Oreochromis niloticus: one gene and its partner. The protein of the gene in region 1 interacts with the protein of each later gene in a pairwise test. Links are inferred from orthologs where the notes say so. Each region holds a gene or a part of one and is shown on either strand. Other genes may lie near its edges. The genes, in order: dnpep and mpp1.

Region 1 (7,312 bases):
TAATCCACTCAAGCTTCTTTTGCTGTCTTCGTAAGAAGAGAGTTTAACATGAGTATTTGGGTTATCTGACAAAGGATTCTTTTTCTTTTTAACAGAAATCTTATTTATTGATACCTGTCTGTTTTCTGTGTCATTGTAGGATTTCCCTGTGTTCCCTGGTGTGTCTTTGTATAATTTAGTCTCAAAATGTCAAATTCATGTCGGCAGGTGCAAAATAAAATCAAGATTATCACATCTGGTCCTTGGTCATCGACCCAATGTCTTGAGCTTATGGACTTTTCTAGTTTCAGTTCCATTTGTCTGTTTGTCTGTCTGTTTGTTAGCAGTCAAGTGTCCACAGTTTTTAAGGTATCAGCTCGAGCTGATTTCATTTTGGGGATAATCAGCTCGAGGTCATCTTCAAACTTCACACCAATACACTATTCCTTGGGGGACACGAATGCCGAGGTTGGCTAAGCGTTTGATCTTGACCTTCATTGCTAGCGCCCAAGGTCAAAGTAAACCATATCAAGGAAAATATGATATGAAAGGGCATGAAGAGAGCTGTTCAATACATGTTTTATATTTTCAATCCGACGCTCTACAACATGACAATGACACTGTAACAGGCTAACGTCAGCATGTTATAATAAGAACATCATAAAACATCAGTTTTAGTATAACCCTTGCCCTTCAGGTGGAGGTGCGCACTCTGGGTGTTCTTGTTTTAGATATTTTCTGGTTATTCTTTCTGTTTGTTGCGTCATGTTTTGCTTTTCCTTCGATCCTGGTTATAGTTTTGGTTTGTTGTTCTTTTTGTATTTTACTGTTTAGTTTAGTAGTTTTTTCAGGAATGTCATTTCCTCCCCTGTCACCAAACATTTATGCAGAAGTCTAATAACCATATGAACTTTGATTAGGAAAAGTTCTGTCATCCCATCATGTTTTTGTCAGATAATTAAGCTAATCAGACGTGAATGTAGAAACAGTTAACACATTCATTTCTGACCAGGTTAACAGGAAGAAACACATTTCTCAGATTTGTTTTTATTAATCATTTTAATGATTATTCTTGTAGACTTCTATTATTACGTCTATTGTGGCTGTATGAAATGAATCAAATTCATAGTCTTTTGTAGACTCAGCTAGCACAAGTTACCACCAGCTTTTGGAAAAAAACAGATTTTTTTACATTTATATTTTTAAGTTTTCTTTCAAGTCTGTAAATAAATCAATTTAGATTAGTCAGTCCACTGAATTGCCATGAAAATAGACTTAATCCTCATCCTTCCACCTGACTGTTGAGCTCGTGTAGCTGAATGTTGGGTCTGTTATGGCCAACACCACCCTCCATGCTCTGGTGTGGACGGTGCAGATGCTAACAGACCTAACAAACCTATCTACAAGGTCAGTAAGGTTGTGGAAATGGAGCTTGACTCCTTAATGAAGGTGTAAGAAACACTGATAAGCCTTCAAACTGTCTCAATGAGGCGCTGGACAGTTTAGAAAAAGTCTTTACACCATGATGCACTACAGCAAATCTTTCCTACCTGTGGTTATCAAACCACACAACACCACCTGGATGTGCTACATCTTGTTTATATAGTTCATGGCATTGCTCACCTTTGGAGTATTTATTTTAATATACTGCACCTTGACCTGCACCTAGAAATGTATCCCTCTGGTAGGTCATTAGTGTCCTCTCCAAGAGCAAAACTGGAAACTAAAGGCAATGAGGCCTTTAATTTATTCAGGTCCATTAGCACGTCTAGTTATTATCATTATTGTTATTAAGTGATTGCAATTATGGCCTGATGCTCATACCAAGAAATTATTCTAACAACAAATCCTCCAAATGAAAAGTCACAGCAGTTTTTGATTCTCCATGCAGGCATTCCTGATTGATGAGAGCAGTGCATTTCTAGTAGGGAACTGGAGTTAAGTGCTCATGTTGTATGTTGATAGGATTAGAAAATGTCATGGTTTGAACTGGAACAAACTCGTTTTTACTATGTTAAACAACTCAGTTTTCTGTGTTTCTGTCATGGTCCGAAGTCTGGTGACTCCATGTTTATGTTTTGTGTTTATTAATTTTTTAGAGTTTTCTGTTTTTTTTGTTATTTTTCTTCCAGTGTTTAGGTATTCTCTGTGCTCCCCTTGTGTTCGTGTCATTTTACTTTGACGGTCCCTTGTCTCATGTCTGTGTCTCTAGCCTTGACGCCCTTTAGTCTCGTCAAGTGTGATCAGTCCCAGCTGTGCTCTCCTCCTGTGTCCCATTCCCTTCTCATCCCTCAGTGTATTTTAGCCCTGTGTTTCTCTCTGTCAGTGTTGTATTGTCCCCTCATGCTGTGTGGGTTTCTCCTGTTGTGCTCCCTGAACTCGCCGGCCCTGGTTTCCCCGTTTTTTGTTATTAGTTTCTAGGTTTTGGTTTGGTGTTGTAAGTGTAAGTTGTTCCACTGCAATAAAGCAGCCTCATTCAGTTCATCCCTGTGTTTTGAGTTCTGCATTTGGGTCCTTCCTCCTGCCTGCCACAGCCGTTTCATGACAGTTTCAAGTGCATCTTTTCATCCATCCAACCATTCAGGCACTTAAGCGGTGGAAAGACTTCAGTGACGTTACTGCTGTTTGGGGTTTTCTAAGTTTTCTTTTAACTTTGTTTTTTGTTGCATGTTTGTTTGATTTGTTTATTGTCTGTCAGCAGGATTGCACAAAAAATGACTTGATCAAACCTTGGAGGAACTTTGGCAAAAGAAGAATCTGTCTAAGAATCAACTATCTAACTATCTAAGAACCAGTAGTTATTCTATTTTCTACCACTTATCCAGTCCAGTCTGAAGGTAACTACTCTACATATATTTCACAACCACTCTGTCACTCTGGCCACTAGAGGTCGCCTAACTTTAAAACATAACTGTAAGCTTTCCCTAATTGATCTATCCTGTGATTTTCTGTGTGAAGACTATTCTAAATCCCATACGATCTGAATGCGTTCAGCACTTCCATTGCAGCTTGTTGATCTCACATCTATTAATAAAGTCTGAATGCGAATGTGTGAGTCTATGTATTTTCATCCCTCTGGGCTTCCTCAAGAGCTGACAGCTGAAGTAAACCTCTCTACAGCATTTTCCGCCTTTCCTCCTCTTCCTCCTCCTCCTCCTCCTCCTCCCTCAGTGTTCAGGACTATATAAGGATGGTTCCCCTGGTGATACAGTGATGAATGGCAGCATGGTGGGGGGATGGAGCATAAACACAGAGGTCTCCAGATAGAAAATAAAACCAAATGAGAACAAAAAAGAGGGCGATTTGGCTCTCTTAGTCTGCCTAATGAAACACAGAAGTCTCAACAATGCATTGCAATTTTAAATCTATTATTGGCACTGCAAAAAGACAGAAAATGATGGATTTTAGGAATTTAGTTTAAGCTCTTGTCAGTATCTGAAGCCTCTGGATGCTGTTGCTTTTGGTATTATTTTAAAACAGCTGATTGCTGTGCTGATTTTCTCTGTAGCTGTGTGGGTGTTAACACAAATATCTGATCAGCCAATAATATTAAAGCAATTCCCAAATGTATCTAAACATGGTCAGGATGACCTGCTGAGGTTCAAACTGAGCATCAGAATGAGGAAGAAAGATGATTTAAGTTTGGATGGGGATGCATGGTTCTTGGTTTGAGTATTTCACAAACTGCTGATCTGCTGGGATTTTCCCACACAACCATCTCTAGAGTATACAGGCAATGGTCAGAAAAAGAGAAAATATCCAGTGAGCTGCATTTATGAGGGAGAAAATGTCACAAAGCTTAAATCATGTCAAACTAGTTTCTTGAACATGAGCTAACTGTACTAAAATAACCTCCACAGTCAACAATAGAGCACCTGTGGTATGTGGTGGAACAAAAGATTGTCATCATGGATGTGCAGCTGACAAATCTGCAGCATCTCTGTGATGCTGTCATGTTTCTAGCACCTTGTTGAATCTATGCTGTGAAGCATTGAAGCAGCTCCAAAGGCAAAAAGTGGCTCCAATTTGGTACTAGCAAAGTCTACCTAAAAAATGTCCATTCAGTATATGATAAAGTAAAATATCTCATAAAAGTGACCCAGTATAAAGTGTAATGACTGATATTAATAATTAAATGAAGGAATTAGTCTGAAAGCAGAGTCCTGTGAGAGTGACTGTTCCATTGCGCCTCCTGGCCGCTGGATGTCGCTGCTGCGCTGTTTGTGACTCTGCACCTTTCTCCCTTTCTCCGCCGCTGTCAGCTAATCTGTCGCTGCTCGTCTTCTTTGTACCTCTTCATAATATCAAAGTCCGGTTAATGCAGGTAAGTGCCATAACAATGATTACTGTGGATGCGTCACGTGGAGGCGGTGCTTCCTCACCTACAACTGTGTTGACTTTAGTCGACACAGTTGACACAGACGCTGAAAGCTCGGGCTGTCCTGGTTAGGTTAGCTAGCAAAATACAGTTAGTTCCATTATCGGACAAAAACAGATCCTGCATAAAAACTCAACTTACAGTCCGAAGTTGAAACTAGAGGCCGGTATCTGGCTATTGCTAGTTGTTTGTCATGATTACTAAGATCTTGCTAGCTTTGCTGTCTCGTTTACTATGATCAAGTTGTTCTTTATTGCGCACATTTTTCACACTTTTTATACTTTTTCCCCTTTAGTCGCTGATCATGAAGAGCTCCAAAGAGGCCGTGCAGTCAGCAGCCAAAGAGTTTCTGCAGTTTGTCAACAGAGGAGTGTCTCCATATCACGGTAAAGTCTGCAAAACTCTGGATTTATCCCTTCAAATGTAATAAAATCTGTATCATATGGAACTCACGTACGTGGCAGCGTTTAATGGGTTTTTTTTTCAAGTTCCAAACTGTACCGAACCAAACTCCGTTCATAAATCTTTGAATTTAAAGTCCTGTTTAAGGTCAGCACCCGTATATATGAGGTAAAGTATTATTGTAAACCTTCTCTGTGTTGCCAGAAGCAGGCTTTTAATTCGGCGACCATGTTTAGTTCATAGTAAGCATAATAAGAAAAAGTCCAACTTTTTAAAAATGTTGCTGGTGCATGGCTGTTGTAGCTCGCTTATTGAGTCTTACTCGCATATTTACATTGGCAGTACATTAGGGCCCCAGAAGGTAAATGAATAAATGGGGGGGGGAAAGGAGCTGGATGAGGTGGCTAAAGATTTGAGGAAAAGAAATTTGGAAATTTCAAGATTAATATTGCAAATTTACACAAAAAATGTGCATGTGGTAAACATTGCCACCCATTTATGAGGGAAAGAACTACCAAATTTACAAGGAAAAACTTGTAATTCATAAGAAAAAGATATAAATAAAATTCTAGCAAGGTAGACAAAAAAATAAAAAATGCTTTAGAAAAAAAATCCTCCTACAAATTCATGAGGAAAAAAAGGCAATTTTCAAGAATATTGGCAAAATTAAAAATTAAAAAAGGGGAAATTTCTGAGAAAGAACTGGTAAATTTACAAAAGAAAAAACTGAAACAAATACATGGGAAATACTTAAACAGGTAAAAAAAAAGAAAAAACACCATTAAATTAACAGAAATCTACTGAAATTATTATTGAAAATTATTTATATTGAAATTATTGAAAAATTAAGCATTTATTTGAATTTACCATTGCTTTTATAATAAATGCACAGCTGGAATCTGAGGTTTATTTTCTGACTCTAAAGAGAAAGTTTTCTCATTTAATAAAGTTCATTTAACAAGCAAAGTAAGTAAAACAACTGCAGTAAAGCAGGTCCAGCCACATACCAACCAGTTCAGTATGTTGTGTATGACACATGCATTATAGGAGTCCAAAGTGTGCCACTCTTTTCTTTGTGGTGTAATTTTAAATTTGACACCTGTTTTTCCTCCGACCGAGTGTTTTATGCTGACAGTTTGTTGCTTTTGTGCTTTAAAACCAGTGAGAATCAGTGAGGAGAAGGCAGCAGGTTGAGTTTGATAGGAAAGACAACGAGTGTCTCTCTGCTGTAATCAGAGCATAAACGGGCTCTCATGTGTCAGCATTAACCAGCTGAGATGCAGTTCAGATCGCCTTTGAGCCAGAGAGATAAGATTGAGATGGAACAGATATTTCATCATGTCTACAACCTTTGCCCTCTGAACTCTGAACTCTGTCCCCAACAACAAATAAAGAACCAAAGAATTAAAATAAGTTTTCAGTCCCATAACAGGAATAAAGTGCAAAAGGTAATAAAGTTTTGCACTTTTTTTTGTTTTTTGTTTATTTCGGTAATTTAATTATTGAATTGTTAGCATCTTCTAATTAGGTTTCATACACTTGGTTGAGAAGAGATAGACACTTAAAAGTCATGTCTTTGCTCTGAAACTCATCTCTACCTCATTTTAGGCTTAACAAAATCTGAGTTTTCACTAGTTTGAAAAACAGCTGAAAAATGGCTCCCATTGATTTACTAAGGAGTAATTAAATGTGACAGTGAGGTCTCTAAAACTCAGACTCTGTTGTCTCAGTACTATTGTCAGCGTTGAAAAGTAACTATGACAAACAACGCCCAGCACTGACAGTAAGGCATGTAGTCACACTGCAAAGATCAGTTTGACTTTAACAGAAACAAATAAACTTCATGTCTCCTCCGCTTTCTCGCCCTGCAGTGGTTGAAGAATGTCGCCGGCATCTGCTGGAGGCTGGGTTCATCGAGCTCAAGGAGACGGAGCAGTGGGACATCAAGCCAGCCAGCAAGGTGGGGTAAAAAGTAGTAGAACGGAAATCTAAATGGTTTGCACAAGATTGCACTCTCAACTGTATATGCTGAAATTTCTGAATTTTTATTTGGAAAATCTGACAATGTTCACTAACTAACCAAGGGCGTTTATTTTGGAAGTATAATGATAAATGTCTGTAAAAGTCTAGGGCTTTTGTTTTGAAATTCTGACATTAGATTTTGTTTTGAGAAAAAGAGACCCTTTAAAGTATCCTGGTAAATTTCTATAATTTCTGAAGTCCTTTACCTTGTCTGTGTTGTGTGTATGTCAGGTAGACTTTTAATACGCAGGAAAATTATCTTATTTCTATAATTTTATTCATTTTCTGCAACAATTGAGGGGTTTAATTTTCAAAGTTTTGCATATGTCTGAATGTCCTTATAATTTCCCAAAAGTAACTGGGGACCTTTTATTTTGGAAAAAATGACCCTTTAAGATATTCTGGTGAATCTCTATAACAGCTGAGGGTCTTTTGCTTCGAATATCTGACATTCATTTCACGTCCTGACAAGTTACTGTAAGTAACGAAATTTTTTATTTTGGAAAAGAATAAGAACACATTATTTTGAAA
Region 2 (7,487 bases), on another chromosome or scaffold:
AAAACACACTTCATTAACCACGTCCACTCATCTGGTCCACCAGGTTCGTGTGGTCATGGATACCAACAGTGTGATGAACGAAGCACTGATGTAGCAAAACGAATTCACTATGACGCATGCTGCTTGAATGTTTGCTACAGAAATCAAATGTATAGATTTGTGCTATTCTTTTACACCAAAAGCATAGCAGGACAACCTCGTCCAAGTTATTTCCAGAGTGTAAGCATCGCCGTAAGAGAAGAAATCCACGTAGCTCCCCTGACAAATCAAGACACTACGGAATTACATTAAATCTACTGAGTACAAGATAAGATACCACGTAATGACTCTGTGAGAGTAAAGTGCCCTCCAGGATCGGGCAGTGAGTGCACCATATCAAAGCTTTTATAATTCGTTCACTTAACTGACATCAGAGAGATGATTGCCTGCATCAGCAAACTTTCTTGCGTGAATATGACACATCAGCACTGCTTCAGCAAAAAAAAAAAAAAATTATCTACCTTCCAGCATCAGCATTACAATAATCCAATCGTTATCACTGTCCACCTCACCAATAACTTTAGCTGCTCTAAAGCCACCTCTGGGTTTAGAAACTACTGCTGCACTGATGAGCCTCATGGCCAGATGCAGGAGCCATGACAGCCAGTTAGGTCTCTCTGAGGTGTGATAGTAATTCATGAGCAGTGTGTGCTGTTAGCCATCAGGAGTGATCAGCATCAGGAAGGAGTGAAAAGCTGATTTTGTAAAACGTGCAGCCATTTATTAAAAAACAAAAAATCGCGATATTCCGATACACGATATGTATCTTACTTCTCATTTCACATTCTTATACTTAGAGTGATTCATTTCACACACAAAAAAGAATCCGCAATAATGTCTGGAGTAATCCGCTTACTCACAAATCAGCTGAACGTGTCTGAAGAAAGTAGCAGAAATGTCTCTGATCTCTTGAGGGATTAGATTTAGACTAGCACTAAAGGGTCCTTTTAATAAAACCCACCTCATCAATATGTTGACAGTGAGCTCTGTCAGCTCCACCACTTGGAGTGTAACAAGATCAAGATTTAATTAAAGGTTTGAGCCGTGCTTCAGTAACTGGTAACAAGCTATCCTTCGACAAGTATGGTCAGGAAGTCATGGCCATAGTTTTAATGCTGGTTTCAAGTTTGGAGGAGCATCAGGGTAAAGAAAGAGCGTTCAAAACAGCGGCTTGTCTCTTCAGGGTGAAAAATAGAAGGTGACAGGCGTGTAGAGGAAGACCATCAGTGCCAAGATAAATGAATTCACCATAAAAATCTATAGCAGTTGTTCCATTCGCTTTTCTGCACACAGTTGGGTTACTGGTCTAATATAACACAGAATAGTTGATTATACTTTATCTTTCTTACATGATCTGCTGTTTTTAACTAAAGGAATATTAATCATCAGCCCTCCCCAATGTAGGGTTTACGGCTTTTTGTTTTCCTTCTATTGATCTCTTGGAAAAATACAGCAGGAGATTAATAGTTGACATTTGAACACTGTGTGGTTAATGAGCTTTCCACAAAAAAGGAGAAAAAAAGAAGAAAGAACTGCCAAAAGTTCTGTGTGTCCCGCTTATCAACTTGCCCCAACTTGTCTTAAGACCTTAAATGCATGATTGTCTAAGTAGGGCAGTACACAGTTATTAAGCCTGAAGTATTAGAAGCATAACTCAGTGCAAAGGAGCAAAAAATGACAGAAAAGAATAGAAAGTAAGAAAGACACAATATATGATTAATCATCCTTAAACAAACCATTTAGAGACCTCAGTTAGAGACATGCTGATTAACACAGAGCAGAAGGATATGTAGGCAAGATTGCAACTCAAGGCTACTGAACTGCAAACTGCTGATGTCAGGAATAAAGTTTCCTCTCTTTCACATTTCCCTCAGTGGCTCAGTGCTGACTTTTCAAATTCTGAGAAGGCACCGGTCTCCTGCTGGAAATCAAATCCAGGTCTAAAGTGTGCCAGAGATTTAACTCTGGCTTTGTCCCTTCCGACATATTCTACATGTTTTCTGGAACATCTTTTCAGTCATACTTGTTAGCTTAGTCTTTGTTAGAGGTAAAGACAGTATTTCCATGACATAGTCAAGGATCTTTAAGGGGAGGAAAACGCAAACAAGTTTAACAGTGTGCTTGGCAGTGTGGTGTAAACAACCTTCACTTGACTGATTCCTGAGCAGGGGCTCAGGGTAAGCTGTAAGCAAAATTACACAATATGTTTCAAAACTGTATGAAGGCACAGTCCCAGAAAAGACTTCACAGCTGACAAGTTACTTCTTTATGATTTTATTGCCGCTCTTAAATGTGTTCATATCACTATAAGCCCAGCTGGTTAATGAGACAGTTCATACTACTGTGTGAAATACAGGAACATAGTCTTATGATGGCTAAAAAAAACCAAAAACCCCTTCCCTAATGTTTTCCCCAAGTTGTCAAAATACTTGCGTGAATTTGTGAGAAATGGAGAACTGAAACTGCCACAGCAATGTCTGCTGATTTCAAGCTGAGGCTGACCGATAGTGCTGAGTAATGCAGAAGCTGCTAACACAGTAAAGATCTAAATGTTCTTTGTTTAAGAGATCAACACATTCAGCTGCTGCAGTATGAAAACATAAACGGGTCTATTCTTAGAGATCTTGTTCGGAAATAAACAACGATCACATGTCCCCGTATCTGCTTCCCGGAAGCAAATAAGAACAGCGAAATCAGAGGGGTCTAAATAAATTAATAAGGTATATATATACAAAAAAAGATCATCTTACCTTGTCAGACTTTGGTTTGTTTTGAAGGAGCTGCTCCAGGTAGAGATCGGAAAGGGCTGTCCGGACGCTGTTCACGGACTCCAGTGTGACAGTGGGATCGTTTTTATTGGATTTTAACGTCATCTTTCCCGTTAAATAAAAAAAACACAGTGAACCCGATTTGCCCCCTCGATCAAAGTCCTCAAGACACTGGCCACAAACTGCTGATAAGGAGTGACTATGAGATAAGTCACTGTCGGAGATAAGAGTCCAAAGATCTGATCAGCAGTAGGTGAGGTTCATGCGATAACTACTGCAGGGACACCGCTGACAAAGCAAGTAAACATGCATCTGACTGCTGCTGTGCTCTGAGGGGCTGGCTGCTGATGCGTTCAAGGTCCCCGTGTGAGCTCAGGAATCTCACAATTAAAGTTCTTATCCCAAAATGAGCTGAAATCAGGGAATTACGAACGATACTGTAGCGCTTCTTATTGTTATTTCCTTTGGATATTTCTACGTTGGCATCGTATATCCCTATTGATCTATAGGCTTTCTCTAAACTGCGGTGTTTATTCAAACATCATCTACCTATGCGTCATAGAAACCTATTTAAAGATTCTTTGTTTCTTTTTCGTTTATACAGTTCAATTAGTACAAAACTAATTCGAAACCGGTGCTAAATAAGCCTTTGGAATCTGATGGGCCAACACGGAAATCAATTTCCATTTTGAGCCCAACAAAATGCTAAATATCCCACAGGCTGGGAATGCAACATTACCGCAGCATTTTCAGCAGGGCTACCCTCTCAGGCTACAGGGGAAGCAAAAAATAACGTAGTCCCGGTGATTCCAACAGCTAGCTTGCAAGAACTTCAGTTTGGAACACAGTGTACCCAGCTGCAGTGTGATAGTCTCTCTGTGCTAATTTAACAAACAAACAAACAAACACTAAAAAAATAATCAGTGGGAAAGTAGAGTGATCCTATTACTGATACATTACTGAGTGATTACAGATGACATCAGTGTTGCAACATGGACACTGCATGTGATTAGGTTTAATACATTGCAGCTGTAGGAGACTGTGAGCAGGAAACCCCGTCCTTAAAGTGGCCTGTCTATTTCCACTGTGTACACATACAACATATACAAGCATGTATGCAGTCTTTTTTTGACAGATGAACTGAGGGCTGGTTCACAAAAACACATGGATTTCATCTCCTTTACTGTTTTAATGTACTTTAAATAGATTTATATTATACCGCTTTCAATTCAATTCAGTTTCACTATATCTCAAGGAGCTTTATATTGCAAGTAGACCACAATAATAAATAGAAAACTCGAATAATCAGACAACCCCCTAGCAGAGAGCACTGGGTGACAGTGGGAAGGAAAAACTCCCTTGATAAAAAGAAACTTCCAGTAGAACCAGGGAGGGGTAGCCATCTGCCGTGAAGAGAGCATAGGACAAAAGACACACATGGGAGACAGCCAGAGTTTAAAATTAATGATGAAATACAGCATGGAGAGTGAAACAGAAGTGAGTGAAGAAGAAACAATCAGTGCATCATGAGAAGCCCCCAGCAGTCCAGAGCTATTGCAGATTAACTAAGAGAGGGTTCAGGATCACCTAAACCAGCCCCAATTTGTTGAAATAGGAACATTTTAAGCCTAATCTCAGAAGAAGAAGAGTATGTGTCTGTCTCCGAAATGCAAACTGGGAACTGGTTCCACAGAAGAGGAGGCTGAAAGTTGGCTGAATCTTCCTCCCCTTACCGCCAACCAGTCATAGCAGATGGCTGTCCATCTCTGAGCTCAGTTCTACTCCCTGTTTAAATGGAGTTTTTCCTTCCCACTATCACCAAATGCTTGCTCACAGGGGTCATCTAATTGTAGGGGTCTTCTCTCTATTATATAGGGTCTTACCTTACAATATTGGTACATAATGGCGTTATATCAATACAGCAGAATTGAATTGCATTGAACAGAGAGAATAGCCCTGTACACTCAGAATTCATCCTACTGCTTCTATCAGCCGTCACATCATCAATTCCATTGCATTCCATTATACATGCCTTCCTAAGGTTATACTATTAGAAAACACTGCATAAATTTTCATTGCTATGCTGATGATTCCCAGCTTTATTCATTCGTGAAGCCAGAAGATACAAATCAACTAGCTAAACTATAGACATCTCTTAAAGATATAAAGGTCTGGATGACATACTTTTCTCTTCTGATCATTCTGATACAATTTGTAAATGGAAAATTGTACTTAGTAGTCAGTATAAGCTTTTAATGATATAAGTTTAATTATGATAGAATACTGCATGATGACCTTTTGATGACTTAGCCTGTTGCCCACTACAAGACCTGTTTCTGTTTTATAAATTCTTTCTCACAGCGATAATAGCTGAACAAGCAGGAAAGAGGAGAGCTGGACACTTTTATCTGCGCTCCCTAACAAGAAGAGGGGCCGCGTCCTTCTGAATCTCACAACACACACACATACACCTGAACCACTCTTATCTTCACGCACTAACATTCCTCTGCCTATGAATAGACGTATTCACTGTTGTATTGCTTTGTATATAAATAAAGACCAGAGCGGTAACAGAGCACTGATCACAGGGCCCCCACTCTGATGTGAGCGTTCTGTGACCGCCCTTGCAAGTAAAGATCTGCAGTGTGTGTCTTCACTCTTAGACTCTCAGCTGAAGAAGTGTCATTTAGAATGAATCTCTTGACACAATTAATCCTGGTTTTATCCATAAAATTTTTTTTATTCATTTATTTTTCAAAAATATATATTTCAGATGTTTCCTGGCAAAGAAGATGAGAAATTGTCTTTAAAAGGTATGTACTTCTCCACAATGGAAATCTTATAAACTGGAAATCCATCCATCCATTTTCTTCCGCTTATCCGGGGCCAGGTCGCGGGGGCAGCAGCCCAAGCAGAGAAGCCCAGACCTCCCTCTCCCCAGCCACCTCCTCCAGCTTGTCCGGAGGCGTTCCCAGGCCAGCCGAGAGATATAATCTCTCCAGCGTGTCATGGGTCTGCCCCAGCACCTCCTCCCGGGACCTGACAAAGAGTGATTCAGAAGACCCCTATGAAAATACCATCGAGGGAACAGTTCACCCTGTCCGGGATAGAGTTACCGGGGCCCCGCCCTGGAGCCAGGCCCGGGGAGGGTGCCCGAGGGCGAGCGTCTGGTGGCCAGGCCTTAGTCCATGGGGCCTGGCCGGGCACAGCCCGAAAAAGGGACATGGGCCCATCTTCCTGCAGGCCCACCACCCACAGGAGGCACCGTAGGGGTCGGGTGCAATGTGAGCTGGGCGGCGGCCAGGAGCAGAGGTCCTGGCGGACCGATCCCCGGCTACCAAGACTGGAAATTAAAAGATTAAATTAAACCATATTAGACTTTCCAATCATTTGAACCATATAGAAGTTACCAGGCTATTTCATAATGTGGAATGTCATGATAATAATTTCATGATATTCAAAAGTTTAGATGGATAGTGAAGGCTGATGGGTTTGTAGTGTTATGGTGGATGGACTGTGGTAGGTTAGGTCGTGGGTAACTACAGAGATATTATAAAATAGAGAGAGCAGTGAAAGAACTGTGAATTGTATTGGAGACTTTTGTGACAGCAAAGATGGTGGTAAAAGTTTTAAAAGTTTATTTGAGGACAACATCAGAAAACTTTTTAGCATTTAATTTGATCAAATTTGACTTGACATTGTATGCATGCAGTTTTTATTTCCCGCTGAGCATTAAAATAAAAGTTAAATAAAAGTGCCCAGATGTTGCAGCATGGCTGCTGACTAACGGGACTTGCTTCCAGAAGGAGTCATCAATCCGAATATAAGAATTCCAAGTTTGACCTTTATACCAGCTGTTTAGAGTCGTGTCCCATCTGGTGTTTCTGTGTTGGGCTAAATAGGTGTTTCTGTGTGTTTTTTTTTTTATGTGTGACATCTTTGCTTATATTATTAAATATACTGTAATCAACAGGATTTATGAAAGGTTATTATATATTTAAAAAAGACCTGTTTTTAAGGGTTTTTTTTATGTCTCTGCAGTGTTGTACCCCATTATTATCAACCCAGTCCCTTTTGACCACTCAAAATATCTTTATAAAACTTTTTTTTTTTTTTTTTTACATTTATTTATTTATTTATTTATTTATTTATTTATTTATGCAATTCCTGCCCTCTTGGGCTGATCTCTCTTAAAAAGCCATTTTTAATGTCAGTGATTTTTACTGGAATAAATAAAAGATATATAAAAGTATCTTTTAAAAAAACAACAACAACAACAACAAAACAGATTGCGGCTTCTATATTGTGGCAAGGATATTGTTTCTGGCTCAAAGTGACTTGATATCATTCATGAAATATATATTTGACATATGTTTCACAGATTATAGGCCCACAAGTTATTTACAAAAGTTTAAATACGGACAAAAATTCTTTGGCAAATACCGGAAATCACTTTTTGGAACTTAAAGTTCCCCCACCTGCCAAAACCCTCTTGTATATGCAAAGTATAAACAAACCACGTGCTGCCAACTCTTCATTGCGTGGCACAAAAAACAGTGTGGTAAACAGGAGGCAAGAAAATAGGTATTAAGCCAGCTAATGAGTTTAAGCTCCCCGATGGAGTGCCAGTTTCAACTCCAGAGGGAGCCAGCAAGCAGGTTTTTATCAGCTGTCCACTCA

Evidence for each region.
Region 2: the proteins of dnpep (region 1) and mpp1 interact in binary tests that used the Homo sapiens proteins (3 or more experiments, as listed by UniProt). The two-hybrid records come from large-scale screens. The link is inferred for Oreochromis niloticus from reciprocal best matches to the Homo sapiens genes DNPEP and MPP1.

Annotation. Positions count from the first base shown.
Region 1 is NC_031986.2:20,305,002-20,312,313, forward strand, and holds the start of dnpep (aspartyl aminopeptidase), read left to right. Parts: upstream 1-4,162; 5' UTR 4,163-4,297; coding exon 4,298-4,303; intron 4,304-4,383; exon of another isoform or gene 4,384-4,523; intron 4,524-4,652; coding exon 4,653-4,743; intron 4,744-6,630; coding exon 6,631-6,719; intron 6,720-7,312.
Region 2 is NC_031975.2:8,705,734-8,713,220, forward strand, and holds the start of mpp1 (55 kDa erythrocyte membrane protein), read right to left. Parts: upstream 3,216-7,487; 5' UTR 2,913-3,215; coding exon 2,790-2,912; intron 1-2,789. UniProt on the Homo sapiens protein: Essential regulator of neutrophil polarity. Regulates neutrophil polarization by regulating AKT1 phosphorylation through a mechanism that is independent of PIK3CG activity.